4 linked regions of the Schizosaccharomyces pombe genome follow. The gene in region 3 interacts genetically with the main gene of each other region. Each region holds a gene or a part of one and is shown on either strand. Other genes may lie near its edges.

Region 1 (9,224 bases), on a different chromosome or scaffold from region 3:
AAAACAAAGCGACTACCTAACCCAATGATTAAAAAAAAATAACAAGGTAAAAAGGTAGAGGGAGTGAGGACAAGTAAGAAAATGAAACAAACTAGTCGCAAGAGAGAAAAAAAAATAAGAAAAATAAAGGACCGTTATGTATAATAAAAACAATAGATTAGATTAAATAAACAACCAAAAACGTCCCGATATTGCGAGGAAAAAAAAAGGGAAACAGCCAGAAGCGTGCACGAAAAAAAGATCTCCTATTTTTTTTATAAAAAAAAAAAAAAAAGAGAAAAGAAATAGCCAACTAACGTGCGCGTACGGTATAAAGAGAGGGGATTCTTTTCAATTGCTGAAAAGAATTTTTAAAGGAAGAGAAAGAGAAAAAGAGGAAAGGAAAAAAAGAAAAGAAGAGGATGAATGAATACACAATGGAATTCAAGTACTAAGGGGATCACCAACTTTTCTTTTAGTTGCTCTATACTGCTCTGCTCTGCTCTACTTGCTTTGCTTTGCTCTATACTGCTCTGCTTAGCTTGCTGTTTGTTTTTGCTTGCTGGCGAAAGGAGACTGACTAAGAAAAGGTTTTTTGAGGAGGATTTGTTGCGCTTTTGTATGGATACGATCAAGATAATCAATTACGTTAGCCCACCAATCACGAAAGAGTCAATATTTTCCACGGGCCAATCAATCCGACCATGTTGGTTCAGGCTCGATAGCCCTGATCCTCGGAAAAGCAGCGTGCAAAAGCCGCTACAATGCAAATTTCAACTTTGGATCGGGTGACATGTGACTCAGAGGGGAGACGAGGCAGAAGCAGCAGGCGAGCGCAAAAGTAAACAGAGAAACGCAGCAAGAGAAGAGAAAAAAGGAAGAGAAAGAAAAAATGAAAGAGAAGAAAAAAAGTAAATTGAAGAAAAGCATTGTATAATAACATTTAAAATGGGAGAAAAAGAAAGATCAATAGAATAGAATAGTATAGAAATGCAGTAATGAATGACAAGAAACCAGGGAGCATCAGACATGTTCAGTAAATAATTCCAATAAAAGATAAGTAAAAGAAATTTGTCTGAGTGCAAAAGAATATTTCAAGATGTTGTAAGAAGGATTATTTTGTTTATTTTGTTTTTGTTTTATTTTATTTTCTTTTTCTTTTTCTTTTTGTTTTTCTCTTTCTCCTTCTCTTTCTTCTTTTCTTTTCATCGCTTCCTCTCATCTAAAACTTTGATCCGACTGATAGCTTGGAATCCATCGTATTGCATTACACCACACTATACAACGCTATATCCTTCGATGGATTATCTGGTCTTAGTCTTAGTCTTAGTCTTTATCCTAGTTATTGGTGCCTGCCCTAGCCCAGACAGAGATTTGAAGAATGGGGGTTAGGATCCTTGATGCCCCCAGTAGACAAAGAGCAGTATAGCAATGACAATGACAATAGCGATAACAATAAAATAGCGATAGTTTAGTAAAGAACTGTTAAATAGTAATAGTAATAGCAAATACAATTTCTATTTGAATCGCTGTCTTTGTCTACATTCGTTTTTTGCTCATGTTCCTTCATCTCCTGTGTTCATGCTTCCGTACGAAAAGACCTGCAACGCTTCCGGCCCATCGGACGCTGCATTTTACTTTTTTAGATGGAGCTCTGATCGTCCATCTCTCCCATTCCTCCCGGCTACTAAACCCGGAGTTAAGATAAAGGTGCGCCTGCTATCCGAAGAAAATAAACTCTGCGTAACCGAAGCAACAATGGTCGTGGTAGCAAAAGGAGTATAGGGTGAAAAGAGAAAAAGATAAAAGAGAGAAGAGAGGAGAGGCGAGAAAGGAAACAAGAATTATAATTAAAAAAAAAAAAAAAAGAAAAAAAGAGATTTTCTCTTAAGAATCAAAACATACTGAATGCAATTGTTTTGCCGAATACTACGATTTTTGACGTATTGCACTTTTTTTGGCTTATTGCTGGATCAACATGTATAAGAGTCTATTTAAAGGATTTCCGTTGTAAAAATACAACTTATCACACTCACACGTTGACACTAAGAGAAAAAAGCTATAGCGAACAATGATACACACACATATACATACGCTGTTGCTATTCACATACGCTGCCTTGATACACACTGTCTTGACTATAAGGAAAAAAGGTTTGGCTTGGTCACAAGTAAAATGTAGCGATGACTTTCGTACTCTACTAATGATTGTTTAGTGAAGAATGATAAAAGATAGTAGTGTGTATTGATTATACTTGTATAATGCAGTTGAATTTACTATGAATAATTTGGAAATTTCGCACAACTCGTTGGTCCTCTTAAAAAAGGAGAAATTTCAGTTTGCGAATATTGGTTTCTCTCTCTCTTTACTTTGCTTTGCTTTGATCTGCTCTACTATACTCTACACCCTTGCCTTTCTGCTTTCTTTGTTTGGTTGCAAAATTCACAGATCGCAATGAAAAAATGTTTTAAACTGCGAACTAATAAGTAGAATTGATTTTGCAATGAAAAGTAAAATTAAATTAAATAGAAAAAGAAAATTTTAAAAAGAGACAAAGAAGAGTAAGGAAAAAAAAGCCCCCCCCCCCCCCCCCCCGAAAAAAAAAGAAAAACAATGTATTCATGGTAAAAACAAAAAAAGTTTTTACTCATCATTCATTGTATCGTTGATCAATTAAAGAATACAAAAAAAAAGTAAGCATAAACCCATTTGGAAACATTGCATCAAAGGATTTTTCATTTTCATTTTCATTTTTATTTTGTTTTATTTTATTTTATTTTATTTTTTTGTTTACCATCATTGATGAAACAGACTAATGAAAAAGAAACTCTAGTACATTTTTATTTTTATTTTTATACTATTGAGCTTTAAATATTAGAGTATTTTATTCTATTGAATTTGAATTGAATTTATTTTAATTTTGGTTAAATTAATTGATTTTCTTTTCTTTGAAATTTTTATTTTATTCAATCTTTTTACACTTTCTAACGTACTACCAAAGTCCCTAAATACCGTATCGCCCTTCTACCTAAAATTCTTTCAAAATGACACACTAAACCACAGTATTTGCAAAAGAAATACTCACCCATCCCACTCATTGATTTCAATAATCTTCAATTCTCAAACACAAAACGACATCCTTTCAACTACTTCTAAAAGAATAAATATTTTCCTTTTTTTATACTATTCATCTTATCTAAACTCCTCCTGCATCCATTTCTCTTCTCCATTTTTTACCCATCTCTCACCTAACCTATATATACTTATATGTAAACAAACCTACTACTCTCTATACTTTCCATACCAAATATCCTCAAACATCCACGCAAACCTCCAATCTTTTTAATTATTCAAACTCTTTAATACCATTCCTATCTAAATTTTTTACTTCAAACTTTTTTTTTTTTTTCTCATTTCTTTTCGCTCTATTTCTGTCACCAACTCTCGTTCCCTGCCGGCTCCTTGTGTACACTTTGCCCTACCTGTCCTAACCACCAAACCCTCTATTGTTCGGAAAACAAACACTACACATGCATTGAATGACTCTGCAGTCTACAGATTCCGCTATTGTGATCGATTCTGAAGCTGATGTTGACATTTCAAGCTCACAAGCTTCTCCTTCCAAGGTTTGTCGCGTATTTCCCTTTCTTTCTGTTCGCTTTTTTTTTAACCCTCTTTTTAGGACAATATTGCTTTGTCAGAACACAATGTTATAACTGTTCTTGATACTCCTCAAAGATCTACTCAATGCGATAGTTTGCTAAAAAGTTTCAGGTAAGTTGACAAATATTGTTGCCAGCATTTCCTTCCTTTCCACACTTTTCTTCCACATCTCGCTAATCGTTCATTTGGGGTCAGTACTCCTTTAGTTTCCGGCTCCGAAGATGTTCTCCCTAGTCCCCGTGATGCCCTTAATATCACTAATAAAAAGTCGGTTACCGATAATCTTTTGCTCTCTTTAACTTCTTCAAACCAGTCAACAAACACGAATTTAAATCCTTCTTCACGCGTCGAAATCATTAATTTAAACTCTTCTCCCCCTAATTCCCTTTCCTCGCAACCAAAACACCAAGAATTTCATTTATTCCATACTCCCACCATTCCTAGGACTACACAATTGTCATCGAAAACCTCCTCTCCCATCGTTATTCCCGACGACAATGAACAAGTGGCTTCCCCTTTATCTAAAAAAGCTGCTTCTTTGACTTCTTCACCCTTAAAAGATTTCCAGTCCTCCCCGCCGCTCTCCACAGTCCTTCAAAAATCCCACTCCCTTCACGATATACTACTGGACACGAATGATGACGATCATTTCCCATTTACCCAGAGTCCGCTAACAAAAACAAAATCTTTCAACGATGCACTAACATCCTCATCCTCTATACTAAAGCCATGCATGCCATCCATCGCTAGTCCTACTTCTAATCGATTATCACATGCCCCTTCTACGCCTAATTTATTTCCTAACCAAGACAGCTCCAATACAATCGACCTCATCAATAACCGTTCCAAAACCTCCGTAGAAAATCAAGAAAGAACTTTCAATCTCACATCTGATGTGCACTTAGATAGCCCGACCTCTCCATCCAAGCATTCTTCAATTGAACCCAATACTAGTCAGGAAGATAGTTTTCAAGAACTTCCTTCTCTAAACAAACTTTCCATTCAAAGTAGAGCTTTTAAAAAAATGAGACTACCCAAAATTTCAAGGACTACCGATACGCCTCCTGCCTCTACTTCAAATTCAAATAAAAAAAATTTGGATAAATTAAAAAAAATGAGAAAATTATGCTCTAGGAGCTTGGAACCGTACGAGCTAGACTCTAATACACAACGTAAGAGGAAACGTTACGAAGATTCTTTGAAAAAATCAAAAACTTTAGATAAGGTTGACAGCTTGAATAGAAAGATGGCGAAAGAATTGGACAGAAAGAATTCAAAGGAACTTCAAAAAATTAACAAAGTTAAGAGAACCAAAGAAGAATGCCTATCTGAGATAATTCTTTTATCGCCGGATGATTGGGCTTCATCTTGGTATTCAACTGTTCGCTCTCAATTAGATTCATACAACTGCCAATTCGTTGTCAATTCAAATCAACCAAAAGACTCAATTATGTGGAAAAGGAAGGTAAACAATGTGTTTAATTCTTCTACCAACCGGTTTGAACTTAGCATAGAGCATGAACAAATCGAACCTTTTGCCCTACTACGGTTGAAATGCCGGGATTTTATAAAATACATCGAAGAGGACCAAGCTGATACTTTTTTTCATGAAATGTCTGAAAAGTTTAAAGGCTGTAAGCTAATACTGTTGCTGGAAGGCATCCCAAACTATTTTAAATCTCTGAAAGCAGAATTAAATCGTCAATATGCAGCAGCTGTTAATAGCGGTACCAGACCTTTGTTATTTGGTTCTTTATCAAAATATCAAAACTTTACTAAAGAAAAGTTAGAGAGTGAAATCGTCCGCTTCAGTTTCGAACATAGTATTCTTATAAACACTTCAAATGACGAAAAAGAAACCGCTCAATGGATAGTTTCCTTTACCGGCGACATAGCTTTATCTCGTTACAAGCACTTTTCTAAATTTTCAGCTAGAGCCTCTACTACCGAAATAGGACATGTCAAATCCGCCGATAGAATTGAAAACTCTCTAAATTTTATGTTGCGGCAAATACTACGAGTTACACCTAACATTGCTAACGCCATATGCGATCAATTTGACAGTATACCATCTTTAATTCATCATCTAAAAACTCACGGCGAGGAATCATTAACCAACGTTGTCATCCAATCTAGTATTAGTGAACGAAATTTAGGTCCGGTTTTATCGCGCCGTATATATAACACTTTCTTATGTAAAGAAGCATCCAGTGATGCACCATAGTGATCGGTCATTATTTGTATTTCATTAATTGTTATCATGATATTTTTTCCTTTTTTTTTCTATCTATGAAATTTTCTTATGATATACTTTCTTCTAACTAAAAATTAACTAATATCGGTTTCTAACTAAAGCACCTCATCTTCTATATCGTCGGTAGTATTCGTTCAAACTTTCTAGATCAATCAGATTCCAAACTTTCATCGTACTGGTTCAAGGCACGTCTAATGGCTAACACATTGTCTACAATGACAGCATCAACTCCAAAACGTACTTGGCGTCGGACATTGTCAACATCATTATTGAGAACACCATAGGTGTAGCAAGATAAACCCAATTGTTTAACTGCCTTGATCAGCCTCGGGCACATAATGAGCGGTTCACAAGCACTAACGATACCCAGAAAACTCCACTGTGAGGCAAACTTTAAAGCTTGTCTAAGCGATGCTGCACGAACGTCTGTTCGGTAAGCGGTACCTCCTTCAGTCAAAAAAAGAACAGGATTAGTCGATTTCAAAGAAAGTAAGATGCATATATCAGGATTAAAACTAGAGAAAATATACTTTCTTTTACCACCATACTTTTTGATTATCGATAGAATGGTATCCACGTAAAAGTTATAATCATAAGCTATAGGGAGCAATTTCTCTTCCTCAGCTTCACTTAGCATGGGGTACTTAAATTCCACATTAAGTCCTACGGATTGTGGAACTTCCTTCAAAACATCCTTTAAAGTTGTGAACGGTGCACAAATCGTATGACCAAGGGCATTACCCTTATATACTTTAGGCTTCAAACGTGCGTTTTCTTCAGCAAATTCACCGAAATTAACCTGTGATCCTGAAGGTGTAAATGAGGAACTGTAGGCCCTAGGACGTCTCTTCTGCTGAATGTCACTTGCATCATCTTTAATTTCTTCTGAAGGAGAGTGGGAAGCCCCTAAGAATTGCTCCAAAGTCAGCGAATGCACTTGTGCATCCGTTCCGGTTTCGTTTACGATAAAATCATGGTATACCACTGGGACCATGTCTTTAGTCATTTGCACATCTAATTCAACGTAAGAAGCACCAAGATCTGCCGCTTTTATAAACGATTGTAAAGTGTTCTCGCCAAGTTGAAGACTCAAACGATCAGGCTGATTCTTACCAAGTCCACGATGTCCGATAACCGCAACACCATTCGATTTCCCTGATTCTGATGTAGTTGTGGCAGATTTGTGTAAAGAACGCTCAGCGTCTTCCAATGCAGTGCGACTTACGTTGGAAACTGCTTCCAGCGATAAGGCAGGGGTACTTATGCCATCATTTGACGAAAATCTATCATCAACTGTCACCTTAGAAATAAGAACATCCGCATTAACATGAGCTATTGGTTTAAGAGTTTTACTCGAAAGTAATGGTAAGGGTGCCAAAGGTTTCAACGACTGCATATGATTCCCCAAATCAGATACCAGAGAAGTCAAGCAACATACAGTTCTCCCTAATATTTTATGGGATCGATTTGCTAACAAATCAATTGTAATAGTTGCTTCTTCTGTATTTCTTGTAACGAAAACCAATTCATACGGTGGAGAAGACCCGTTTACAGGTTGCGGACTATTTTCTTGTGCGGCATCATAATGCAAATGAATAGAGTCGTCGGCAATTTCATCAGGCTCCGCCAAATTCTCTAAGCAAACTTCACCGGCATTATCAAAATGGGAGCGAGGGATATCAATAATCACTGAGTTGTTTTGGCTAGAAGATGGTGTCATAGAGCCATTAGAAGCAGTAGTGTCGTTTTTACTCAACGAGTCAGTAGATTGAGACATGAAATCTACTGAAGATGGTCTACTTGCGGCAAAAGATGGAGACCGCCCTGAAACATACACAGCATCATCACCTTGAAGACTAACGCGGATTCTACCGGCCAAATCACTGATTCGAATAATGACCACTGAACGAGATAATTGTAAATCCATGGCACGTTTTCTGCTCCTCATTTCGGAACTTGAGGCTTTGATATAAAGTGTATGTAAATTAACAGGCTTATCACTCAAGGCGACTTGAGTTCTAAGTTTATCTGCTAGGTGTAAATACCCCCGAACCACAGCTTGTTCCATAGCAGTCCAACCTGAAGAATCAACTTCGTCAACCGAAGCGCCCGAGGCAACTAAAATTGAAACAATTTCGGAAAGTCCAGTAGCTGATGCAAGCATCAAAGGAGTCCATGAATTCAAAAAATCCCTTGCGCTAGGGTTTGCTCCAAGTTTGAGTAACATTTTAACACATTCCGGCCTGTTATAACGAACAGCGGTGTGTAAAGCTGTATTGCTACTAGCATCAACTTCGTTAGGATTGAATCCTGCAAGGATGAGTTCTTCTACGATCAAATCGTAATCGCCTACACAGCAAGTCAAGACCAAAGGAGGAACGGGTCCCGGCTTGGTAGAGGTTGTTTCCTTATCCTGAGCAGAAAGCAAAGCATGAAGAGCTTCAACATGATTTCCCTTAATAGCCAAAGTCAAGGGAGTGTCGTGCATTACATCGCGCCAACATGGAAGCATCCAATTCAATGGCTCAGAGTCAGGGATTGATGAAACAATTTCACAAAACTTACTGCACAATCCTGCCCAACCGAGTTTCGCAACAGAGTGCATCACACTCTGTCCCTTGCTATTTCGTTCTACAAGAAGAATCCTTGAAAGTAAACGATTAGAATGGTATGAATCCACATAAACCACTGAACAAATTTGTTTCAACACCTCCAAAAAATATAAAACTCCTTCGTCAGGACCACAGAGGTTGTTAATTGCACGACGTAATGCAGAAGCCAGGCACTCAGAACGTAAACCAATTCTTCCTATAACTTCACGCATACAAGCTTTGGCTCCCGCAATGATGGAGGCAGCCAGTATATCTACGAGTACACTATCAGGTGCATTTATACAAGCGGTCACGACCTCTGCGGCAATATCCAGTTGAATAAAAGCTAAAAGATCCTTCTTCAAGGGATGGTGAATTGACAATTTTTCCAACTTGTCTTTCACTTCACTATCGTTTTGAGAAGAATTCAAAGCCTTCAGGGCAATCATGGACTCATAGATCTTGGACGAATTCGCAAAATCAAGCTTACACACCTTCTGCTCATAAAATGTAACCAAGCGCTCCGTACCAAGGTGCTTATCCATATTGGCAGCTAGCTTTTCAAAGGCCAGCTTATTCCATTCACAAAAGGATGATAATTGTTGAAGACGAAAGTCTAGCTCTTTCAGTTGCTTCGCCTTTTCTTCAGCTTCGTAAGATGAAGACAGTGCCTGTGTAATTTCAGTATTGGGAGATTTCTCCGTAGACAAACGAGTGACATAATTATCAAGCTGGAC
Region 2 (9,778 bases), on a different chromosome or scaffold from region 3:
GTCCAAATCTTTTAACGCCGGCAAAGTTACCCATAGCCTGCTTGAATGCAATACCAAGTGCAATAGCAGTATCTTCTGCAGTGTGATGATCATCGATGATTAAATCACCTCTTGAGTAAAGTCGTAAGCTCCAGCCTGCATGTTTAGCCAGTGCATGATACATGTGATCCAAGAATCCAATTCCCGTGTCTACTTGGATTACTTGTTCTCCCTTTTGGTTTGCATGCTTGGAAGTTATAAGTTCATCAATAAAATTCGACTCTTCAGGTAAGGGAGCTTTGTCCAAAGCGATGGCAACGCTGATTTTCGTTTCGTTCGTATTTCTTTCTACAAAAGCCCTCCTCATCGTGATGCAAAACTACTCTTTTCAATTAGATCAACCGAGAATTACAGGAATTTATGGAAAACTTCCTTATTAAAAAATGACAAATAGTTCGGTGTCGTGAAATTGCAAGCCTTTTCACCCAAAAGATTTTTGCTAGATATTAGACTACCGCTATATCCAGCAAGCCAATTACAGGTACGGTAATTATTCGATAAAGCAAGTCAACACCCCATACACAAGATATCCTTAAACGAGGTGAACGATGTTTGTTAAAAATTCGCTGAAATTGGTTATTCATATTCAACGATATAAATGAGTTCAATGTCTTATTGTAAATAGCGTATTTAATTAACATGATATTAACTTTTCCTTAGCTTTAACTACGCAGTTTTGTATGGGAATGTAACGTCCGTTAGTGCACTGGAAAAAAAGTTATCTATAGATTAAACTATGGCTTTTTTATTAGGCATATAAAAAGTAATAATGAAATACATTTTAAAAACTTGTAAAATCTGCAACATCGAATTGAGGACCCGTAAAACTAATGAGCTGACCCTTTTGCACTTTATTTACTTTGTACGTAGATGCCTGAAAATTCCAACTGCGGGTTACCAAATGCAAAATACAACATCAACATGCGTTGGGATCATTTAATAAACATTAATTAATAGCATAGTTGAATGCAATGATATTTACTAACATACATATGTTCCTTTGATCTATATGCAACATAGAAAACTGAGCACGCTCAAACTTTCAAATATTTTAAAAACAACTAGTCGAAGATGAAGGGAAGGTATAGTGTGTACTATGTTTCAATATATAAGGAAATTGAAGACGCAATTCTTAATCGCATTTTTTAATGCTTCTTTTTATGATAGGCGTAATATTTTAAAAAAAAAACCATCACTTATCTTTGACTCTATAAGACTAATCAAGTTAAGATCAGGATGGGCATTCCATTTTTCGTAGTACGGATTGAATAATTTAGTTAACAAGTTCAATACAACATTGGCGATACTGATCAAAACTTTATTATATAAGTTTATAAAAGCAGTGTTCAACGATTTAATGAATTATTCTACTACGCGTGATTTTTGCTTACACTAGGAAATAGCTTTTGTTTGGCAGCATCTACTAAGGTTCTCTCCTTGACTTCGTCAAATACGATATTAGGGTCTTTAGACGATCAGAACTTGGACGTTAACTTATTCGAAACACAAAAGAGTTCGCTGCTAATGTTAACGACTTTCTGCCAAGTTTCCATTCAGCAACTTATCATATTTTTCACAGAAGTCATTCCCTGATGTTGAATCATATATTATTATTGGTGATTTCGCTTGTTTGTGCTGCCTTAACCCTTTCTTGGTTTCCTCTACTTTTCAGGAAACAATCCTATTCATGTGCTAAAGGACTGATTGTGATAACAGGAGGAAGTGGGATTCTTGGTCATGCTATTATTCAAGAGGCGTTGGATAGAGGCTTCAGCGTCGCCTCTTTGGACAGTACTGAGCCTGCATCTTTTCTACAGTACAATTCTAAATTTAGTGCTTTGAAATGTAATATTACCAAAGATAAGGACGTAGAAGGATGTGTCCATTCTTTGAAAAAGATGAACAGGACCCCTTTTGCTCTGATCAATGCTGCAGCTATTGCTCCAAAAAATCATTTGCTGTCTATATCAAGACAAGAATTACAAAAGTAAGTACAGGTTAAGCGTAGTAAGCCTTATTTTCTAACTGCTTAATTTAGATGCTTTGAAACAAATGTGATCGGACAGCTGGCAATTACATCTGCATTATTTCCTCTCCTTTTACAAGATCCAAATCCTCATGTGGTCAACATAGCATCCTCCTTGGCTTATTTTAGTGCGATGGGAGTCGGTAAGTGGGGTTGATTTTATAAAATTTGCTTTTCCTTTCTAACGTGATTAACAGGTGCCTATTCATCTTCAAAAGCGGCACTAGTTTCGCTACATGAAACATTAGAGGAAGAGGTTTTATCACAGCATCCCAACTTCAAGTTTTCTCTTTATGTTTTAGGGCAAATTAAATCTACAATGTTCGAAAAAGATACCCCAAACAGAGTATTAGCCCCTCTACTAGAACCTCAAAACTTAGCAAAAATTATTATTCAAAACTTATATACAAACAAATCGGGTCGTTTTTACTATCCATTTTACGCACGTTTTATGCCTCTACTGAGGTTTTTCCCACTTCCAATACAAAAATTGGCTCGTCTATTTAGTGGCATGGATAAAATTTATTCATAATCCACCTACAAGTCAATGATAGCAAAGGTGCTCCCAATATGGACTTCTGCTGATGACTGGCTAATCCATAGGACTTCAGGAATTTCAACCTCATTCGTTTTGTTAGTTTGTAATAATATACGTTTTCGGATCGTTAATGAAGGTGTTGATAAGTTCAAGAATTTTACGAAATCTTGGCTGTATTTCCAAATAATGCATTCCTTTTGCGTAGCACTGACTCCAACAAAATAGTCACCAGAAGGACTGGCGGACAATACCTGAATATCACATTCGGCGTTTTCCTTGCTGACGACTTTCCTTCTTTTAGCTATTTCATAAACCACAAGATCACCATCGTCAATGTAGGAATATTTTTCCACCTTACTATCAAAACATGCAAATGGAAATTGGGTTGCAATTGCGTTAGTAACGTCGTGAACTTCTTCAACCGAGCGGCTAGAGTAAAGGATTGGAAGTAATTTTTCCGTGATCAATTGATTAAATAAAGAAAATTCGGATTGTGTGTTTTCAATTGCCAAAGACACAACTTTTAGTATAACGGAACGTAAATTTGATTTCATTTGCTCATAAACTTCATCGCATAAACATGTAAGCAGTAAAACAGCATTCGAAACTGAGACATCCACTATTGATCTATAGAGAATGCTATTTTTATCATCCAAATCCTTAGTATTCTCTAAGGATGACAAAACCAGGTTGTATATAAACTTTGCAGGATCAATATGTTTTGAAAACACGGAAAAACCATTACTCAACAGGCGAATTGCTGTTAAGTCATAGTCCATACTTTCGGATTTTTGTAATAAATAGGAAGACAAAAATTTCAATTGTGAAACATCAAATGCTGAAGGCCGTAAACTGACAATTAATGACAAGATGTACAGTGAATGTTGCACCTCCTTTTTCAGATAGTACTCTCCACCTGTAGTCGTAAAAAACTCAAAATAATAATATATAAGCCTCTGAAGTTCCTCTGGAGATATAAGTTCCAATGTTCTCGACAACATTGATTTAATTATACCCTGCATAACCTTGCCTGAATTATTCCAGACGTATGAAAGAACGGAAATACTGTAATCAACCGTTTTCAGGTCTTTTAACTTTAATAATATTCCTTCAGTCAATTTGGTATCGCTCAGCCCATCATATTTACATAAAGGAACCATTAGAGAAAAATATAGATATAACAGCAAAGCGGAACAATTTGGTGCAGTATTTATTATTGACTTCATTTCGGTGTCAAATCGAAGTATGGCATTTCCATCTGGCTTACCCACACCAAGATGCAAACTGGATTGATCAAAAACAGTACCTAACAACTGATGCTCCATCTCTATATCAGAGTTTAGGAAAGGAGGTTGGATAAAGTCAAGGAACTCGTCAATATACGTTTTTTCTATGTAATTTTCATTAGAAAAATTGAGGTTCAGTACTAAATCATGAGCGTCTAAAAAAACAGTAACCAAATTATCGGTGAGTAAAGCACAAGAACCATGATACAAAGTAGGGAGGTTAGATTTATCAAAAGTACCAATAGATATGAACGAAGAGTCAATAATATCTGAATAATTTCCTTCAGAACATTTTTGATCCACAACGTCCCAATTTAATAGTTGAAAATTGTCATAAGCAACATAGATTTGATCTAAATCGGGAAATGAGTACAAAGTTTCAACTTGAGCACCATCAGATGGCAAGTAGCTTAGACTATAAAAGTCGATTAATAACTGATAACACACTGATAACTTACAGATTATAAGATTCATCCAAGGCACACAATGAGCCATCTAAACTCATAAAAATAAATAAGCCTGATGAACCAGAAGATAATGATTTCTTTGCATGAATAATTTTAGTAATTGAAGAAGATTGCAAAGCACGCTCGCAGAGAAATCTCCATCTTTCACCCTGAAGTTGTTGATAAAAGTAAGCCTTTCCAGTTTTGGTAGCAACAACTAAAATTGAGCGTGAATGTTCAGTTTCAAATATTTTCATATATGTTACAATTCCAGAAACCCTTGTAAAAGAGTAAAGAGGAGCTGGATCATTGTGAAGGTACCAGTCAAACAAAGAAAACATCACTAAACCAGAGGTTGTTCCAAGGAATAAATTAAGAGAGTCCGTATAAGCGTAGGAAACAGCAGCTGTATTGCTCAACTTACAAAGATTGCATGAGTCTACGGTTCCTTCTGTTAACCAATTGAAAGTTATTTTTTCGGGATAAACACACAAACTAACGGGTTTACTTTTTAAAATGGTGCACGATTTCCATGGAAAATCTCCAGAATACTTAGAAATTAATTCGAAATGAGGTTCAGGAGATTGATGAAGTTTGAGTAAAGTTGAAGACGAAAGAGTAAAAATACAAGCCGTGCCATCAGCCAAAACAAATACAGATGTTATCTCTGCAAGTGAATATGAAGCTATAAATTTCTCATGCGATTCCAATAGTACTACCGCATCCGAGTATACATATAGCGCATAATTGGAAGAAATGCAATCTGCTGGTACAACATCAATAACCTTACCAAAAGTTGGTTTAACATCTGCTTTTGTAACTGAATTTCTTTTAAAAGTAAGAGCTGACCAATCAACTGACCAAAGAGATACAGATCCATCTGAATAGGCGACAGGGATTAATAAAGCTTCGTCTTTGAACGGAAACAAAATAGGCCAGTCCTCATGACCAGTCCAAGTCGCAACTATCTGAAAGTTGGAGATTCTAATGAGATATATTTTCAAAAAGGTTCCGGTAACAGCAAGAAAGTTGTTATTTAATCTAAATAGCTTTAAACATAGCCCGTCACACAATTGCAAAGTAGCTCGTCGGTCACATGTTTTCAGTAGCCATTGACAAAGTAATCTGAGAAAATGTTAGCAAGAAATAAGTTAAATAATGAATTTGATAATTGCTGCTCGGCTAATGAGAGTTGCTCAACATACCCAGATTCGTCGAGTGTAATGATTGATAGGTCTACAATTCCATCAGCTTCAAATGGAAGGCAAACTATAGAAGAAACGGAATGTTTGTGTGCTATAAATGTTTGGATCAAAGTGAAATGATTGTCTGTAGAAACGTCAAATACCATGACTTGGCCGGAACATTGGCCTACTATCAAATACTGATCAAAACAATGTATTGAAGACACGTCAAGGCCTTCATCTAACAAATGAGTTTTACAGCTTTTCGACAATGCAACCCAATCCATTTTGATTCGCAATCAACAACGGTCTAAGGCTGACATCAATTTTGAACGCTGTTCGAACACGGCTTCCCAAATAACCACTCAATTCAGTAATTGTTAAACCTTTTTAAATATAAAAGTAATTGAAAACGCAGAAAATGAAATTAAAACAATATTTAGGCAGACTAACAGTTGCCGCGATATTCTTGAATGTAAAATTAGCAAATTCGGAACGCAAACGAATAAACAAGATGCAACAAGTATTTGAGGAAGAGAATCTAAGAAAAATGAAGAACTTGCAACAGCCATAGACAAGAATGTCTAACAAATAGCCATGTAAACAATTCGTCCATCCGTCATTTAATAGAATGTATGCATCGACAGCTCCGATTGTATCAATCATTACATAAATCTCTTCATTCTTGAATTATATACAACTTACACTTCTCCAAAATTTATACCACTGCACACAACTTCGAATTCCACTCGGTGGTGGGAATGTGCTGCTGTGCTACTTGAAGCACGCGAATACTATATGACCTAGTTGATGGGGCGATGCCCTTGCTTCCAAATCTTGACAATACTTAGTAGTAAGAATACAGCGTACAAACGAGTTTAAGTTATAGTAAACGAGCATTATTTAATAACACAAAAGAGTATTGTTGTACATAGAAAAAAACCGAAAAAATTGCTAACAGTCTTATTTTATTCAATTTGCCAAATAAACAGAACATTTACATACTTCAAATGTTGTAAATTTCGCACTGCAACTAGTATTCAAATCTCAACCTGGAAAAACGATATAACGAAATTGAAATATACTTCAGACTGTAGCATCATCTACTGTACACGAGGCAAACTTAAGTCATAGTATGTGTAAAATAAGTTAACAATTCCATTCCAAAGCTGCAACATTTAACATATACCCTAATAAACTCTGCCGTCCCGATTACCGAGCTTTCTCAAGAATTTTGTAATCCTTCATTGAAGCACCTTTTTTTTTCATATTTATATATAAATATATATATTAATATATACTAAATTTTATTTTTATTTTTATTTTTTGTGGAGTTTTATACTACAGAAATACAATTGTCACGTTAAAAATTTCAAAAACTATCTATTAACTGCTGCTTTTTGTGTATTTATATATTTAATTTACTTTACTTCGTTTGTGGTGGATCTAAGTTATAACATTACGAAGCAACATTCTCTTATTGTAGTAGGAAGTAGTACAGTGCCGAAACTGAGGCATCATCACAAAACCCTTACTCAACACCATTTACTGTTTTATCCGTTTCATTAGATTTTTACGATATAATGAGCGTGGATGTAAGTATAGATCTAATGAATCTTTGCAAAAATTTTAAACTAATTACATAAAAGACGGCTAAAAGTGATATTCAAGCGGAACCTTCAACTGGGACGCTGGAAAATAAATCCTCTAAAACGTACTCAGATTCCGAGAATAATTCCACGTTGGATGTTTCAGCTCAAGTACTCACATTGGATAATAAATCCAGGATCTTATGTATTGCCGATGTTCGAGGTAAGTATGCGTTGTTTATGGATTTAGAGCTGCCAGCGAGAATTCAAAAGCACCCCATCGGGGGAATTATCGACGATCGTTTTACTTTTTAAGATAAGAAGATGCGAATTTGTATGCTTTTGCATGAACTTATCCATAATGGCTTAGCAGGAGTTGAAGCGCAATTGCTCAATTTACTCATTTTGTCATTAAAGATCCTCGTTGGTTCGTAAAAGAATTTTGTCCATACACTTTATTCTCCTTAGCTATTCCTATCCTTAAAATTACTACTCTTTAATACGCGTTTTTACTAATAACTATCCCTTCAGGTGAACTGAGTTTAATAAATAGCCTGGTTGAGGAAACCAATGCCTCCTGTGTCATCCACACTGGTGACTTTGGATTTTTTGAGCGATCCTCACTTCCTAGCATATCTGAACGGTATGTTTTGTGTCAAAAATTTTTATGTTTCATTTTTCTTTGTTCTAACCTTTTTTCAGTACTCTTCGTCACATTGTCCAATTCTCGCCTCTCATAAAAAAGCTTCCTAGGTCCAAAAACTTTGATTATTATCCCTCGAATCCAATTGGGGATTTGAAGAATAGTATTGCTTCTCACCCCGATTGCCTGCTTTCAGAATTACCTCAATTTTTGTCACAAGAGAAGAAATTCTCAGTCCCTGTATATGTAGTATGGGGAGCTTGCGAAGATGTGCACGTTTTGGAAAAATTTCGTTCTGGAGAATATTCTATTCCAAACCTTAACATAGTGGACGAACTTCATTCCTACCTATTGCAAATTGGAGATATGAAAATCCGTTTACTTGGTCTTGGAGGTCCTTATGTCCCTTTTAAGCTTTTTGACAATGGAGACGGTAAAGGAACTATTGCTGGTGGCCAGGGTACTATGTGGACTACAATCCTTCAAATGGGTGAACTAATAGAAACCGCTAAGAGCCTGCTTGACAGAGAGGAGGCACGTATTTTTATTACGCATCATCCCATTGGAAGAGAAGGTGTTCTTTCTCAATTAGCTACTGCTTGCCAGGCTGACCTGACTTTATCCGCCGGTCTTCATTTTCGTTATGGAGCTAGCTACAATGAGTTTTGCGTAAATCATAGTCCTGAACATTATCTTCAAAAACTTTCGGCTGCCCGTGCACAGTTTATGGAAGTGTATGACACTGTTAAGGCTGAGGTTGAGAAGATGGTTACCCCTGAACAACATCATCTAATAAACAATGTTGTTCGCCTAGTCTCTCGCATGCCCGATGCAACTAACTCATATGCTATGAATAACATGCTTCCCGGCACTGCTTTTAAAAACCTATGGAACTTCAATTTATTAGATGCTTCCTTTGGATGGACTGTTTTTGTCGTCGAAAATGGGCATGTTCAAGTGGAAAGCAAATCTCATGGCTTTAATTTAGGCTATCGTCGCATGGCTTCACGTCGTAACGAAAATTATGCATCTCACATTCCACGCTCAACTTCGGAAAATACCGGTACCTATTATTACGCTAACAATAGGTTGGTGGAATCTCAAGCACAGTTTACCAAGAACAGAGAAGCTACGGCTACACCAACCGAAGAAGAACAGATTGAAGGGTACGATCAGGAACATACTGATGAGCTAGGAATGTCAAGAGCGAATACTACAGAAGAGTCGGCTGAGACTCATGAAGTAATCGAAGAGAAGTCGGGACCACCTGCTGCCGAGGAAGAACCCATTTCTGGCGTAGCAGAGAAGCCTAGTCCTAATGAAGAAGAACAACCAGCAATTGGAGGGAAAGAGGAAGTTGACGTTGAAGAGGTGACTAAGGGTACTGGAAATCTCGAGCTAGGTGAGACGACTACAGAGGTTACCATACTTGAACAAGAGAATGCTGCAAATGTTACAAGATCTCAAGCACAAGAAGGTAGAAGAACTGATATGCAGAAGGGCAACGATCGTGAATTCCGTCAATATAGTGGTGAGCAGCGTTATGAACGTTGTGGATTTCATATTACCCCTTGCAATTCTGAAGAGGAAGCCCGTTCTTACTTTAAGGACGGGACAGACAGCCTGATTACGAATATTCAAATTCGTACTTCACTCAATCGTTACAAAAGTCCCCAAGCTCCTCAAAACGTAAACCCCACTAACTATGCATATGTATTTGTTGAAAACCAGAATGCTGTTTCAAAGGCCCTTGGAAGCATCAAAGTTCCAGAAGGTGTGCGGGTGAATATCATGCGTGATGATTCGTACTATCGTCAAAATAGAGGATGGTATCGAAATAACCGGATGGAGGGACATGGAACTGGAATGCGTACCAATCGTGGACGTGGACGAGGCGGCCGAATGAACAGAATGCAGCATCCTCGTCCATTACAAAGCGGTGGAAGTGTCAATAAACAAAGCGCTGAACCTACTACCCATGGTTAATGATGAATATTTTTTGCACTGTTTTCAATGCTGTTTTAGAA
Region 3 (6,704 bases):
AAAAAAAGAAACCAAAAAATAGATGGCACTTTGAGAGATAACTTTTAGGCTATATATGCGATGAAAAATGCAAAAGGGAATGTTTTGTAGAAATGACGGCTCAACAAACAAAAAAAACAAAAAACAAAAGAAGGCAACAAGGAAAGGCTCGTGTCGAAGAGGAAAATATGGGAAACAAAATCAAACGCCGGGCGATATATTCTCGGTTTGGCAAGTGGGAATGTAAATGCAAAAAAAAAAACGATTAAAAAAAGAAAAGGAAAAGTTAATCAATATGGTATGCGATGAGGAAATTATTTGACAAGTTGATTGAGCACACTCATACAAAACCAAAAAATGGGGAAACCAAGAAAAATAGAAATGAAATGCAAAATCAAAAAGACCAAAAATTTGGCACGCAAAAGAAACCAAAAAAACGAAACAAAAAAGATAGAAAAAGAAAAGTTATGAAGAACGGGTATCAAACCCTTTAGATATAGCCTACTAAAGGGAGGATATTAGAAAAATATGCAAAATGTTAGATGTGTAGAGGTTCAGTAGTGTAGCGAGGATCTTTTATTTATATGACTGCGAGCACGAATGTAAACAAATATCGCCATGGCAGCTAGGTAACAACCACGAGGCCGATCGCTGCTTCGGCGGATTTAGGCTGACGTAAGATGAGACTGTTTGTTACCGATAGCCCTTTTTCCAGATGCGCTCGCATTGGTTCTCAAGTGGGGCTTTGAATAAGCCACGTTTGGCGGCTGTAAATACACATAAAAAGGTGTAAGAACAAGCGTTAAACTTGTTTACCGATTATTAATAATAGGTCGATAAACAAAGATTTTAACTTTAGGAACGAGGACATGGGAAAGGGAAGAAGAGATGAGGAAACATTGCGATGTTCAGGAAAGGAAGATGAGGTCACTAGTAAATAAACAATAGAACAAGAATAATAAATAAATAAATATATGATTACAAAGTAATCACAAGCGCGGACTTGGTGAGTACAAAGCAAATTGTCATTCTATTCTATTTTGGCCTATAAATTCAAAAAAACAATATCTAGGTAGGATGTTTGAGCGTCGTATGAAACATTGCTGCAAAAACTTGATATGCTGAATAACGATATTTATGAGGCGCACAGACGATCCTCTTTCATAGCCACCTACGTGTGCAAGAGAAAAGGTTGTGGGCAGTGTGCACTAGGCGAAATATGCAAAACTTGGATTTTCATCATACATAGTACAATGTAAGAGAGATTGTAAAGCATGTTTGAGAACTCATTATGCCAAAAAACTAGTGTAACCAAGTATTGATTAGAAGGAACTGAGCAGGATGTTTAAGTTAAAAGAATCATAGTATTTGTAGGGGCTGGTGTACTGCAAGGAACCAATCTGCTATCTCACATAGCTTGTCTTTCAACATCGCCATTGTCAAGTTTCCTTCTTCATCCGTTGAATAACGCTTTATGCCCTATTCTCATTAAACGATTTACGATACATTTTTTCCATGCATACACTGGTTATCATAGACAGACGGATAGTAGCCAAAATGATCGACCCGAACAGTCATGAGTCTTTCCGTCCCGAACAGTCTGTAAATCTTCAAGTACTGAAGCGCATCCATATCTTGAGCAAACGCTTACTGCCAACGGACAAATAGACAGGTGATCTTGCCGGCTGGCCCTGAAAAAAAGCATAAAATATTCGACCGCTCAAATGGGCTTATCTGCCAAACACACTTTGCAAGACATTTCTATTCGATACTTATCATCATATCCTATCATAATTCTATTCTCCTTCTACCATCATGTCTACCGGTTTCTACGTTTGCATTTATCTTTGCGTTTTTGTACTTGCCATAACTGAATTGTACTATTTGCTCTCGCTGATTATTTCCTATTTATACAAGTAATTAATAATTTAAAAAAGAACAAATAAATAAACTGCCCACACCAGGAATCGAACCTGGGTCGCATCGGCCACAACGATGAGTCTTAACCACTGGACCATGTGAGCTAGTACAGTAGCCGTACAACTAATGACTGATATATGGTAAAATACTCCGCACTACGGAAAGCTTAATTAGGGAAGCACCGTGGATATCCTATTTTGGGAATTCTTATCCATTCTATACGATGATGAAAATTATCGGATATCATCAACTTAAAAAAATTGATCTCATATAAAATAAACGAGTCATGCTATTCTATTGAAATTCCACTTTCTTCCTTTACTCACACCAAAATATTTGAAAACAACAAAGAATTTCTCTTTGTTTTCTCGTTCCTTCTATACCTTATTCCACAGGCCAGTTTTCGTAGTAGAGCAGGTTTTTGAATGGATCCATTGAGTCTATATTATGGAGCAACAAAGTAATTTAGAAAAAGACCTCTCGGTCTCATCCTTTCTTGATGAAAAGGAAAAGTCGGGATACAAGCAATCTGTAAGATTAGTTTCCAATGACCCTTCTGCCTCACCGGCTGCTACGCATAAACCACCGTTCATCAGTGCGGCTTTGATGCTGTTAAATAACACAATTCTTTGCATTTCATTCACCATTGTCGTTCCTACGTCCGAGAGATTTGTCCAACATCTGGGGGGAGGAAATGGTTTGTCCGGTGTAATTATCGGATTGCCCACAATCACTGCCCTTGTGTTGCTGTATCCCATGTTGAGATTCTCGACTCCGAAAGCTGCCAAGGGATATACGATTTATAGAAGACCATATACAATGTCGTGTATAAGCTGCATTATTGGTCATATCATGTATGCACTCGCAGATAAAGCCAAAAGTGTGGCCTTGATTCTTGTGAGTCGTATTTTTACGGGTGTTGCGTGTACCATGTTTTTATACCACAAGCGCTATTTCACAGATAAAGCCTTGATCAGCATCAAATATAGAACGTCGATGGGTGTGGTCAACTCAGTCATGGCAACGCTTGGTTTGACAGCTGGTCCATTCATCGGAGGATTAATGGCCAAGTCTTCAATGAAGTCTCAAAGCGATATCTGGAATGAATATACTTCGGGTAACTGGCTAATGGCTTTCATTTGGGTAGGCTTGTTTTTGTTTGGCTTTGCTTGTTTCCGGGAGGTTTTGAGCCCGCAAACGGACGTAAAGGAAGAAGTAGTCGAAGAGAAGCATGTCATTAATGATGTCAAACAGGATACCAATTCAAAACTAGGATTTGTGGGGTGTCTTGTTATTTTCGTTGTCGCTTTCTCTGGCTTCTCTGCTTACTTTCTATTAAATGCATACCAAGCATCTGTTCCAATTTACACTTCTATGCTTTATAATTATTCATCCTTCCAAGCAGGTAACTTCCTTTCTTTGGCTGGAATTATCAACGTACCCTTGCTTTTAATATTTTCCTATTTGACGCGTTACTTGACTGACAGAGATATCATATTGTTGGGTTGTTGTTTAAACATCGTATGCATGGTTATTCATATAACTATTCACTATACAGGCAAGGAATTCGTACAACCTTACTTTATTATTTACACCCTTGTTTTTTTTGGATCTTCTATTGCTAATTCCCCTTCGGTCTCTTTATTGACAAAGGTTTTACATCCTAAGTACCACCTGATAGGTAACGTCGCTGTGCAAATATCAATTTCCTTATCCGACACAGTTGGTGCTATCTTTGGCGGTGCATTTCGCTCGTTCTCACCTGTTGTTTTTTTTGCGGTATGCTTAATATTAAACGTTATGTCTGTGCTTGCACTATTGATTATATGGAAGAAACTTAAGGTCAAGTTGCGCCTTGCATAATTCACTGGTAACTCAATGGTTAGGTTGCTCTCTATTTTTTTTTTTTTTTTTAATTTTTTTACAAGGGGGGGTTGATTTGTTGTTTATTTATAAATTTGTAAGTTGTGTTCCTTACAAATAAATCTAATACCAAATGGCTAATTAAATTGAAATAATGTTGCTAAATCTTTAATTATAATGAAATTAATTGATGAAATATACGTTAAAAGCCAAATGAGTTCGAATTTTTTATCTTAAATACTTTTTATTTTTTATCTATAGTGTGCCCATAGGTGCCTGCCCTTCAATTAACACATAGAGAGGTATGCCATTATGATCAATTAGACAAACAACCTATAAAAATCATCTACAGGAAAACATCAAAGGTACTTTCGTTAATAAAACATCTAAAAATTAAGAATATAATTATTGGTTCTTTTTTTCCTTCAAAGATGGAATGGCTCCCAGTTCTATAGCTAGCTGCTCATTTGACTGTAGAACAGGGTCATTTGTTGTCCATGTATATATTATTTGTCGAGTATGATTCTTTGAAGTTCGTACGGGTTGTGCAGATAGATAGCGGACATAAAGAAACGTATCTGCTACTAGAACCAAGATTGCTGAAAACGCACATAGCGCAATTTTCTAAATAATATTAAGTCAATACAAAGGTCTCCCAGGAACAAAACGAAAGTTTTTAATTCATACCTTTTCAATAGATAAAGATGAAGTGCAGTACCAAACAGCGGTCACCGTTCCTACTACTGTGAAGAGTATATTGATTATAGCGCTGATTTGGTTTTTCATTAGTCGTAACTCTGATTTTTTTTCTCTCTCAGGGTCCATGGATACGCCTGCCATTGATGGAAGCAGAGGAATACCATCATATAGCTCTTTCTCCTTTAAGATAGAAGTAGTTGTATTGTCTTGAGTATGGCTGTTTTCATCAATTTCGCCCAAGAAGACACTGTCGCTCGGCACAATCTGTACACCTCGAAGAAATTCCAAAAAATTGATATTCCTGTTATGTAATCGTAATTCCTTTAACATTTTTACCAGCTCAAATCCATCGACAGTTAATTTATTACACCGTAAGTCTGTCTGCTGTTTTTCGGAGAGCCTGTACAGCATTTTTGCAATAATGAGTCAATTTGACAATTTCGAAGGTATTAAAAAAGTAGAAGGGTAAGTAATAATGCTATGAAGTCTAGAAAGCAATCAAAAACGATTCATATAGTCCGAATTGCGTGAAACAGGATCAATCTAGGTTGGTTGACGATATTTGCTAAATTTCTATTGAGTTTTCTAAATGAAATAATTAAACCAATATTTTAATGTCTAATACTACGTTTTATATTGACCAACAAACAAACATGGAGACAGTGGTACATCCAAGTATTTGCAAAAGTCAAAGTTACGCAACGTAATACATAGCGTCCTATAAGAGGCAAAAAATGAAAATATGAAAGTTCCTCAACTTTTTTTGAAATCACCGTTTTGGTAATTAGCATCATAATTTTATTCTTCACCCTCGCTAACACTGTGCTAGGCCAAGCAGAATTGTAGACTTCCTCGTTCAGTGAGGTATAGAAGAATGGTACACGCTACTGTGATATTATATCTTTCTATGAAGTGACATAAATCTTGGTAACTGAACATTCAGTTTAATTTAGCGCCGCAATTGCTCTCGGGTATTTCATACAAACGATATTCAAAGATTATTTATTGGAATTTCAATATAATATTAAGAAGTAAATGCTACTAGCTTTGTTGGCTCTATGAGTTTTATATAACTTACGCAATTATTACTTGCGTCTATGGTTTCAAAATGTGTCCCAGTATGCTCATTCAGCGCTTGGAAAGCTAAAGGTTCAAGAATTTTTATGACTTTGGGTTGAATACTGAGATACTTCATGTTCAAAAATACCAGCGTTTCAACGGCGTTCAATTCTTCCATGTTGCACCATCCAAAGTACTTTTTTTTGCGAATTTATTTACGACAAACTTGGCTTACGTAAACTTTGGGGTAGCAAAATTCATATCGCCGCAGAACAGTTTGCAAGAACAAATATAAACCTAAAGAGGTACGGGTGAACAAATAGGTATTCGAATTAGGAAATGAAAAGTTCGAAGCTGAAGGAAGCTTAATTACGAAGACAGAATCAAATAAAGATAACTTCCTCCAGTATAGTTTTCATTTTTCCGAACGTCCATATCGTCTTTGCCTCTGCACCATTAAATTCGAATTTTTTCAACGATTTTCAAAGCTCACTATACCATATAACGTAATCTGAAGAAAGAAAGTTCCACTGATGCATGGACGCTATTTAGGTTTTTGCCCTTTATCTTTCATCTGATCTTACAAAGTCGCTTGAACCACGCTATCCTATATACCGAAGCAAAGGCCAACGAAAACAACTACGTTAATACCTGCTATATTGACTAAAAGAATGATATTTCACTTGGCAGCATTCGTTAGCTTTAGCTAGGAAATTTACGATTATTTAAAAAACCCATTCTTGTAATGCTCTTCTCATTTATTAATCTCATCATTTTCACTTCCAAAGATATAACGACTGAGGCGTAAAGCTACGCTACCACTTCCTATCAGTAAATTGTGCGACTTTACTATACGTTCTTCAAACTTCGTTATTTCCCCACCAAAAGACTTACTTGCAGAAAATTTTCTCTTTGTCACTGCTACACCCCGTTTACCACTACTCCGTTCTCCTTGGTCGTTTACTTCATTTTTGTCGAAGTAATCACAGCTATTGATTGCAATTTCAATTTATAAGAAACTGCAATAAGAGCTTAGAAGGAGCCTAATCCGTTTTCCTTTTTTTTTTTAATCTCCGCTAAATCCCTGCAGGTTTGAACTAATCAGTTTTCAGGAAGTAATTTAGAAAAGGTTCTACTCTCCTCCTAGAAACGCATATGTGTCCTATTCAATTAACCAATACTAT
Region 4 (7,140 bases), on a different chromosome or scaffold from region 3:
ATCTCTCCATTACTGATGGAAGTATCTACTGTTTAATTATGAATGTTTTATAAATGAAATAATTTATTTGTATGAAAAAGCATTATTGCGAAAAGTCTGTACAACTCTTGGTAAAATTATCACCATGAAGAAGCTTTTTATATTTAAAGCGTTTGTTTATTACCCCTTTTCAATCGTATTCAATCATATTCTTATAGTAGTTTTTATATTTACGATCCATCCTGCATTGCCCTTCTGTATCGGACAGGTTGAAAACGCGTAGCGGATTAAAAATCAAGTTTGAACAGACTAATGTGCTTTATTAAACATAATTTGAGAAATTAATTATCTTCTGTTCTAAGATACGTTCAAGTTTTACTCAAAAAATCAATGTGTACATCAGAAGGTTGGAGTATTTACCTACGCTTAAAATCAAATTTGCTTTGAAAAGATATTAACTTTCAAATGTTCAAAATTGCCGGAAAGCGCATAAAAAATATTATTAACTACTTATTAAAACATGTTAAATAAAGCATGAACAATTCCAAGCAATTTTTGAAGTACCAACCCTTACTTGAATGGCTAGCAAAACACGAAGCTTACATTTCACCCAAACTGTATATCGCTTCAAGTGGGGTCGCAGGAGATGGTATATTTTCTACCTTTGATATAGATGAACTTGAAGTTTTAGCAAAGATTCCTAGAAGGATCATTCTGAGTCCTCGCAACTCAAGATTTGGAGATTCGTTGTATACACATTTTAATGAATCTAATCGGTCTGATGATATTAACTTTGACAATAGAGATCAGGTTGGGCTGGTCATGCTCGTTATAACTGTAATATTGGAAAATATAACAGATAGTCCGTGGAACGCTTATTTAAACACCTTGGACGAAACTTGTATGCCTGATTCCCCATTATTATGGAAAGATAAAACGTGTCTTGAGGGAACCTCAATGCTTGATGTAATAAATACAAATTTAAGAGTATACAAAAATCAATATGATCAATTGGTCCGCCCTTACTTTTATAAACATGCTGATCTCAAACAGCTTTGTCCAAAATGGAATCAGTATTTAGAGACTTGTGTTCTCGTCCAAAGCAGGTGTTTTTACGTTAACAGCTACTACGGTTTATCTTTAATACCCTTTTTCGATATTTTTAATCACAAGTCTGGTCCAGCTATTGCTTCGCTACATTGTCAGGAGTCAAATGATCATAAAGGCGATATCAAAATAGAATTTATTTCTTTTCAGTATATACGAAAGATGTCCGAAATATTCAACTCCTTCGGAAACTTTGCCGCTGATGAATTGTTCACGCAGTATGGATTTATTGATACCGCTTGCAAAGTTTGGCGCGTCGACATGACAATGATTGCTTATGAAACTAACAGAAATTTTTATATGGAGTGGATTCATAAAAAAAGAATAATCAACACCCAGGAGTTGCTGGTCACCCCAACTACATACGCAAATGACAAGTCTGAGACTTTACGTTCAGTAATGATAAGACAACCTATGGATCTTTATATAATAACAGATCATGGTCCCAGTTACGGGCTTTACTTATATTTATTTTTTTGCATTTACAAAATCAAATTCCAAAAGTGCGATATGAATATAGTAATGCTTACAAAGTATTTTAATGAAATCTGGGCTGTGTTTATAGCACATAAGGAGGGAGAAAAAGAAAAGGTTGTTGCTCAACTCTCTGGTTTTTCTTTTTATTGTAAGGCTATAGAATTTCTACAGATGCTGTGTCAAAAGCGCATTAGTCGTTTCAAAAATGGTGGGTTGACTGCTGAAGCTTATAAGACTCTATTGTGCGATCCGACTCTTAAACGAGAGAATAGGTCTCGTTTAGTCTTACAAATTTTTTATCATGAACTTAATTTACTCGAAAAATCAATGCAAGAAACAATTTATCTTTGTACTGAAAATTTTGAAGATTAAAAAAACAACATACAACGGTTGGAAATGTTGCATAAAAGGAAAAGGTAAGATCGAAGTTCAGCTTAAATTTTAATCATAATTTTGTGCCCTTCTTAATTAACATTGTAGTAACTTTATGATGTTTTCCAAAACCCTGCATCGTTCCCTTTCTAGATGTCCTGTGTAATAAATAACCTATTTGCCATTTCAAACTTTCGGTATAAACAGCATCAGAAATATGAAAGCGTCAAATTAAGCAAATGAATTAGTAGGCATAGAAATAAGAAATCCGATGACAATTTAGATGAAAACCAGTGTAGAGCACATAAAGTGTACAATTTGTGAAGGAATAACATAATATTAATCGTGCATGGTAAACTATGCTTTCCATGGCATTCTTTCTTATGAGAAAAGGAAGTAGAAAACGCATTTATAAAATGACTTTACTGAAAATACATATGGCATCTTTTTCCCTTTAGTTAATTAAACTAAATGATAAAATATTAAAATTAGTCACCGTCTTTGATGATTTGGAGATCAAAATATCCCGGAAATAGTTTTTTGAACCGCAAAATTCCAAACTGTTAAGCTAACCGATCCTACATGCCATGTTAGTATTTCAGCTGCCATTGTGATAAATGAAAATAAAAATAAAAAAAAGATTTTCAGAATTTTCATTAAAAACAACATACCGTAGATTGATCGTGGAAGAGATAGCACCCATAGAGCCCAAGAAGGAAGCAAGAATGCAGGGAGGAAAAAGACAGGTGTTTTGGACTCTTTGAATTGAATATAAAACCGGAATCCACGGGTTAAAATCCAAAGAAAAAGGCTTAAAACCCGCTTGAAAGTATCTTGGAAAATTTTAACATTGGCTGATTGTTTTTCCCACTCTTGACTGAGTTGTTCATACTTTCTATTCAGACGGGCCCATTTAGCAAACTGATCTTGACTGCTAGTAGCGTTTAGCTCTTTCTTAACAGTAAGCAGCTGCTCTAAAATTTCTTTGTTCTTCTTTAAATCTTTATTATTAGAAACACTAACGTAAATTCGATAAGCCTTTCACATTATTAGTTTTCTTTACAACAAGTATATATGTTAAATTACCCCATCAATAGTCCTTTTTTTTGCAAATTTATCGAAGAAATGAATAAATAAGCTTAATAAAATTGTTGAAATAATCAGATCCATCATAAAATATGGACTTGTAAGAAAGTACAGTGGTTAGTGTCAAACGTGTAACTGTTGAGTATCACGCTCCCTATGACATGCTGGTCTAAAGGTCGAAACTAAACACAAGTTTGTTTGTTACGATATTAGCTATTTTGTGTTAGAAAATAATAATCTATTAACCTTTTAAAGTTCAGAAGAATTGATGTTAAGTATATTTATCTAGCTTCTGTAATATTAAATAGAAAAAATAGATAAAATAGCTATATGATATTCAATTGACAAATACTTTGATCATGAGATCCATGAAAGTAACTATTTTCATTCATAACGCTTTATTTAAATTCAGTAAATTGACAAATTAGGCAGAAGGTTGTTGAGGAGATGGGGGGATTGGTGGATTTCGAGGATCGTGATCATTTTTATACTCAGACTGACGCATAAGTTCAGAAATATTTAAATGTTTGTATGCATATGGCCTTGGTCCAAGAATCGTCTCAACTTCGTTATAAGTGATGACTTCTTTCTGTAATAGACGTTGAGCAATATTTTCTAAGCCTTGCTTATGTTCTAGCAAAAGTTTCTTAGTTCTTTCGTATGCATGCTTTACAAGCTTTCGAATTTCTTCATCAATCATTTGAGCTGTAGCCTCAGAAAATGGTTTTTGAACAGTTTCCCGAGTGTCGATGGGATAAGCTATAGTACCAACAGTCGGAGACATACCATATTGGGTCACATACGCTTGAGCCATGCGCGTTACTTTTTGAAAATCATCGGAAGCTCCCGAAGTAATCTTTTCTGGTCCAAAAAATATTTCTTCAGAAACACGCCCAGCCAAAGCCATTCCCATTTGATCTAAAATCTGCCCTCGACTCATCAGATACTGATCTTTGGGTAAATAACTAGCATAGCCAAGGGCTTGAGCTCTAGGAATGATTGAGACCTTCAATAGTGGATCGACGTACTCCATAAACCAACCAGCTACCGCATGTCCAGCTTCATGATGAGCAACGGTGTTTTTTTCTTCAGGACTTAGTACCCTACTCTTCTTTTCCAAACCTGCCGTGACTCTTTCAATAGCTTGCTCAAAATGTACCATTTGGACTTCATTACTATTTGATCGTGCTGCAATTAACGCTCCTTCATTACATACATTCATTATATCAGCTCCTGTAAAACCAGAAGTTAGGACGGCAAGACGCTTGGCAATTAAGTCGATGTTATCGGCTGCCTTAATATGCTTAAGGTGGACCTTAAATATTTGTTCACGACCGCCAATATCAGGACGATCAATCGTAATTTGACGATCGAATCGACCAGGACGTAGAAGTGCCGGGTCCAATACGTCTGGTCGATTAGTACCAGCGAATACGACGATATGTTCGCTAGACGTAAAACCGTCCATTTCAACTAATAGCTGATTAAGAGTGCTTTCGCGTTCATCATTGGAACCAAATTGTCCTCCACGTCCTCTTGCTTTACCAATTGCATCAATTTCATCTATGAAAATAATACAAGGAGCGTTCTTGCGAGCAGTAGCAAAAAGATCTCTTACGCGGGAAGGTCCAACACCAACAAACATTTCAAGAAACTCAGAACCTGACACACTTAAAAAAGGGACGTTAGCTTCACCAGCGGTGGCTTTAGCAAGAAGAGTTTTACCGGTACCAGGAGGACCAGAAAGAATGGCACCACGAGGAATTTTAGCCCCCAACCTTTCATAAAACTTGGGATTTTTTAAAAATTTGACGAATTCCATAATCTCTTCTTTAGCCTCGTCAACGCCAGCGACATCAGCAAATTTTATTTTGATATCAGTTTCATGATTAAACATCTTCGCTCGGCTCTTACCAATTCCAAAAATGCCACCTTGACCACCTCCTGCGGCACCCGAAGCCCGTCGCGATAAATAAATGACACTTCCAATGATCAGTAAGGTGGGAGCAAAAGACAATAAAGTAGCAAGAACAGAGACTTCGTCATGATAAGCGACAGGGACAAATTCAGAAGGTGGAATACCCAGTTGACGTTGTGCATCCTCTAGTTTTCGATCGAAAGAGTCGATGGAACCAATTGAAAAATAGTACTGCCCTGAACCTGAAGCTACACCGCCTCTCAAAATAACTCTAACCATATTGCGGTTAACAACAACTAGCCGTTCAACTAAACCCTTGTCTAAAAACTGTTGTCGAAAATCTTGCCAAGTAATTTCTTGCATATTTGCATTAGGCGAGAGAACATTGTAAAGGATATAGGCAACTAAAATTCCACCTAAAATAGTGTTGCCATTTAAGGCTATTTCAAAAACTTTTTTCGGATCATTGCCATTCAATCCCTTCTTTTTTGAATCATCATTTTTCTGGCCATTTTTCCTACCATTAGCATCAGAATTGGATCCTGAAGACCCATTTTGCGATCTTTTTGAGGTTACGCTAAATTGTTTAGATGAAATGAGAGGGATTTTATGTTTTTCCGGTATTCCTTTATTTATTTTAAGGGACTGAAAAGATCTCTGAGAAAGTGAGAGAAGAGAAAATTGTGAAACAGCTGTGGAACGTGTAGAAAAAGTATAAGCCCTTGCCAAACGCAAAGAAGAAAAATTATCCTTCTTTACGAATTTAGAAACCAGGTAATCTCCTGTTTTCCTAGTAGGTGCCCTAAACGTCAAAAAGGGATTTCGCATAAGGAATATTATATGGAAATAAGTCGCAGGGTACAATAACTTGAATTGAGCGTGTAAGGGCAAGTATAATATATAAAACCCTCAATATCGAAAGAGATAAACGTAAATGATTGTTTTAAGAAAAATATCCTTCGTATATGACGAGTAAAGGTGGATTCTAGAATTAAAAAATTCAAGAAAGCAGTAATTAATCGTTCAATTCAGTAATTGAGACCAAAACGAATAGAGACGAAAAGTTATAAGGTTGTATTAAAATAAAAATTTATTATTACCTCCGGACATGGATTTGGGCAACCTCCAAAAAGCGTTATGAAATTGAAGAAATTCCAATGTTTCACGTCAGCAAAAATGGTAATTAAAAGGAATAAGAACACAGTTGTCACTTTTTTTTCAGCTCAATAAACCCGTTACTAATCCTGTCAACAAAAAATAGCCTAAAGGAAGGATAATATAGATGCCTTGGACTTGTGTGTTGTGGGTAGTGACAACCTTCCGAAGCATTAGTCATTTATTATGGGCACCGACCGTAATGAAATCAACCAACTTCTTAGCATTGTCTCTATTAATTACTATAGATTTACTAAACGTATTACAAGTATATTGTTGACAAATTAAAATACATTATAATTTGCTGAATGGATAATATTAGCGAGTTGATTTACATTACTAACTTAGATACCATAATAAAAAACATTTATGCATATTTGTATCAAAAAAAAAAAAGGAATAAATAATAGTCACTATAATATGCAAGCTTGATAAAGAAGAAACTTTACGGCTATCAAATATATATGGAAGAACGCATTTTCACTCAAAACAATTGACGAGTATTTTTCCCAAGTAAAATACTCTCTAAAATATACTTAGTTTTGGTAAATAATGAAAAGATTTTTTTTATCATGATGGCACTATCGTAATAATCGACAGAGAGATAAAAGGGTCATAAACAAATAAGTTTAGAGAAGGAAGGATATGCTATGTCACAAGTGTTGCACTATATAAAACAATCATTTAGAAGCATAGTTTAAGGACAAATGGTGGTAAAGGCTAGTAATCGGAGGATCCTAAAAGATCAGCGACCGCTGGCATTCTTGAAGAGAACACGTAAACAATAGACCATTCTAAAATACCAGAGAAAAACCCGGTACATTTTTCAAAAGTAGTATGGTAAAAGGATGCAGTAACAAATAACATCCACCACCAAAGTCCAAGAAGACCAAAAAGTACTTTAGTAGATGTAGCTTTTATTCCATTATTCAAAATAAATGAAAAGTTTTCAGACAACATAAACAAGCTCGAGTGAGTTAACAAGAAAACATGGCCCGAGAGATCATGACCACCAGACCAAGATCCGTTTAATCCCTTGCAAGTGG

Evidence for each region.
Region 1: mutations in vph2 (region 3) and eme1 together harm fitness more than expected from each alone (negative genetic interaction), as found in Schizosaccharomyces pombe (2 studies listed by BioGRID).
Region 2: mutations in vph2 (region 3) and wdr7 together harm fitness more than expected from each alone (negative genetic interaction), as found in Schizosaccharomyces pombe (2 studies listed by BioGRID).
Region 4: mutations in vph2 (region 3) and get1 together harm fitness more than expected from each alone (negative genetic interaction), as found in Schizosaccharomyces pombe (2 studies listed by BioGRID).

What each region holds. Positions count from the first base shown.
Region 1 is NC_003424.3:3,294,162-3,303,385, reverse strand, and holds eme1 (Holliday junction resolvase subunit Eme1), read left to right. Parts: upstream 1-3,472; 5' UTR 3,473-3,518; coding exon 3,519-3,605; exon of another isoform or gene 3,606-3,661; coding exon 3,662-3,753; exon of another isoform or gene 3,754-3,837; coding exon 3,838-5,866; 3' UTR 5,867-6,044; downstream 6,045-9,224. Other genes in the region: glycerophosphoryl diester phosphodiesterase Gde1, read right to left, coding at 6,045-9,224. UniProt on the Schizosaccharomyces pombe protein: Interacts with mus81 to form a DNA structure-specific endonuclease with substrate preference for branched DNA structures with a 5'-end at the branch nick. Typical substrates include 3'-flap structures, D-loops, replication forks and nicked Holliday junctions.
Region 2 is NC_003423.3:2,266,971-2,276,748, forward strand, and holds wdr7 (WDR7-like protein), read right to left. Parts: upstream 6,283-9,778; 5' UTR 6,225-6,282; intron 5,988-6,224; 5' UTR 5,807-5,987; coding exon 5,541-5,806; intron 5,461-5,540; coding exon 4,348-5,460; exon of another isoform or gene 4,305-4,347; coding exon 2,603-4,304; 3' UTR 2,598-2,602; downstream 1-2,597. Other genes in the region: imidazoleglycerol-phosphate dehydratase His5, read right to left, coding at 1-346; SPOM_SPBC16H5.14C (DHRS family dehydrogenase), read left to right, coding at 1,632-2,026, 2,078-2,208, 2,263-2,597; SPOM_SPBC16H5.12C (uncharacterized protein), read left to right, coding at 7,103-7,114, 7,169-7,331, 7,640-7,751, 7,811-9,737.
Region 3 is NC_003421.2:66,699-73,402, reverse strand, and holds vph2 (V-ATPase assembly protein), read right to left. Parts: upstream 5,152-6,704; 5' UTR 4,873-5,151; coding exon 4,450-4,872; intron 4,387-4,449; coding exon 4,168-4,386; 3' UTR 3,924-4,167; downstream 1-3,923. Other genes in the region: SPOM_SPCC757.11C (transporter), read left to right, coding at 2,347-3,762. UniProt on the Schizosaccharomyces pombe protein: Required for vacuolar ATPase assembly.
Region 4 is NC_003423.3:4,314,915-4,322,054, reverse strand, and holds get1 (GET complex subunit Get1), read right to left. Parts: upstream 3,147-7,140; 5' UTR 3,109-3,146; coding exon 3,022-3,108; intron 2,974-3,021; coding exon 2,607-2,973; exon of another isoform or gene 2,514-2,606; coding exon 2,452-2,513; 3' UTR 1,936-2,451; downstream 1-1,935. Other genes in the region: SPOM_SPBC16C6.01C (lysine methyltransferase), read left to right, coding at 514-1,935; m-AAA protease Yta12, read right to left, coding at 3,446-5,767; fit1 (CoA pyrophosphatase (FIT) family lipid storage protein), read right to left, coding at 6,815-7,140.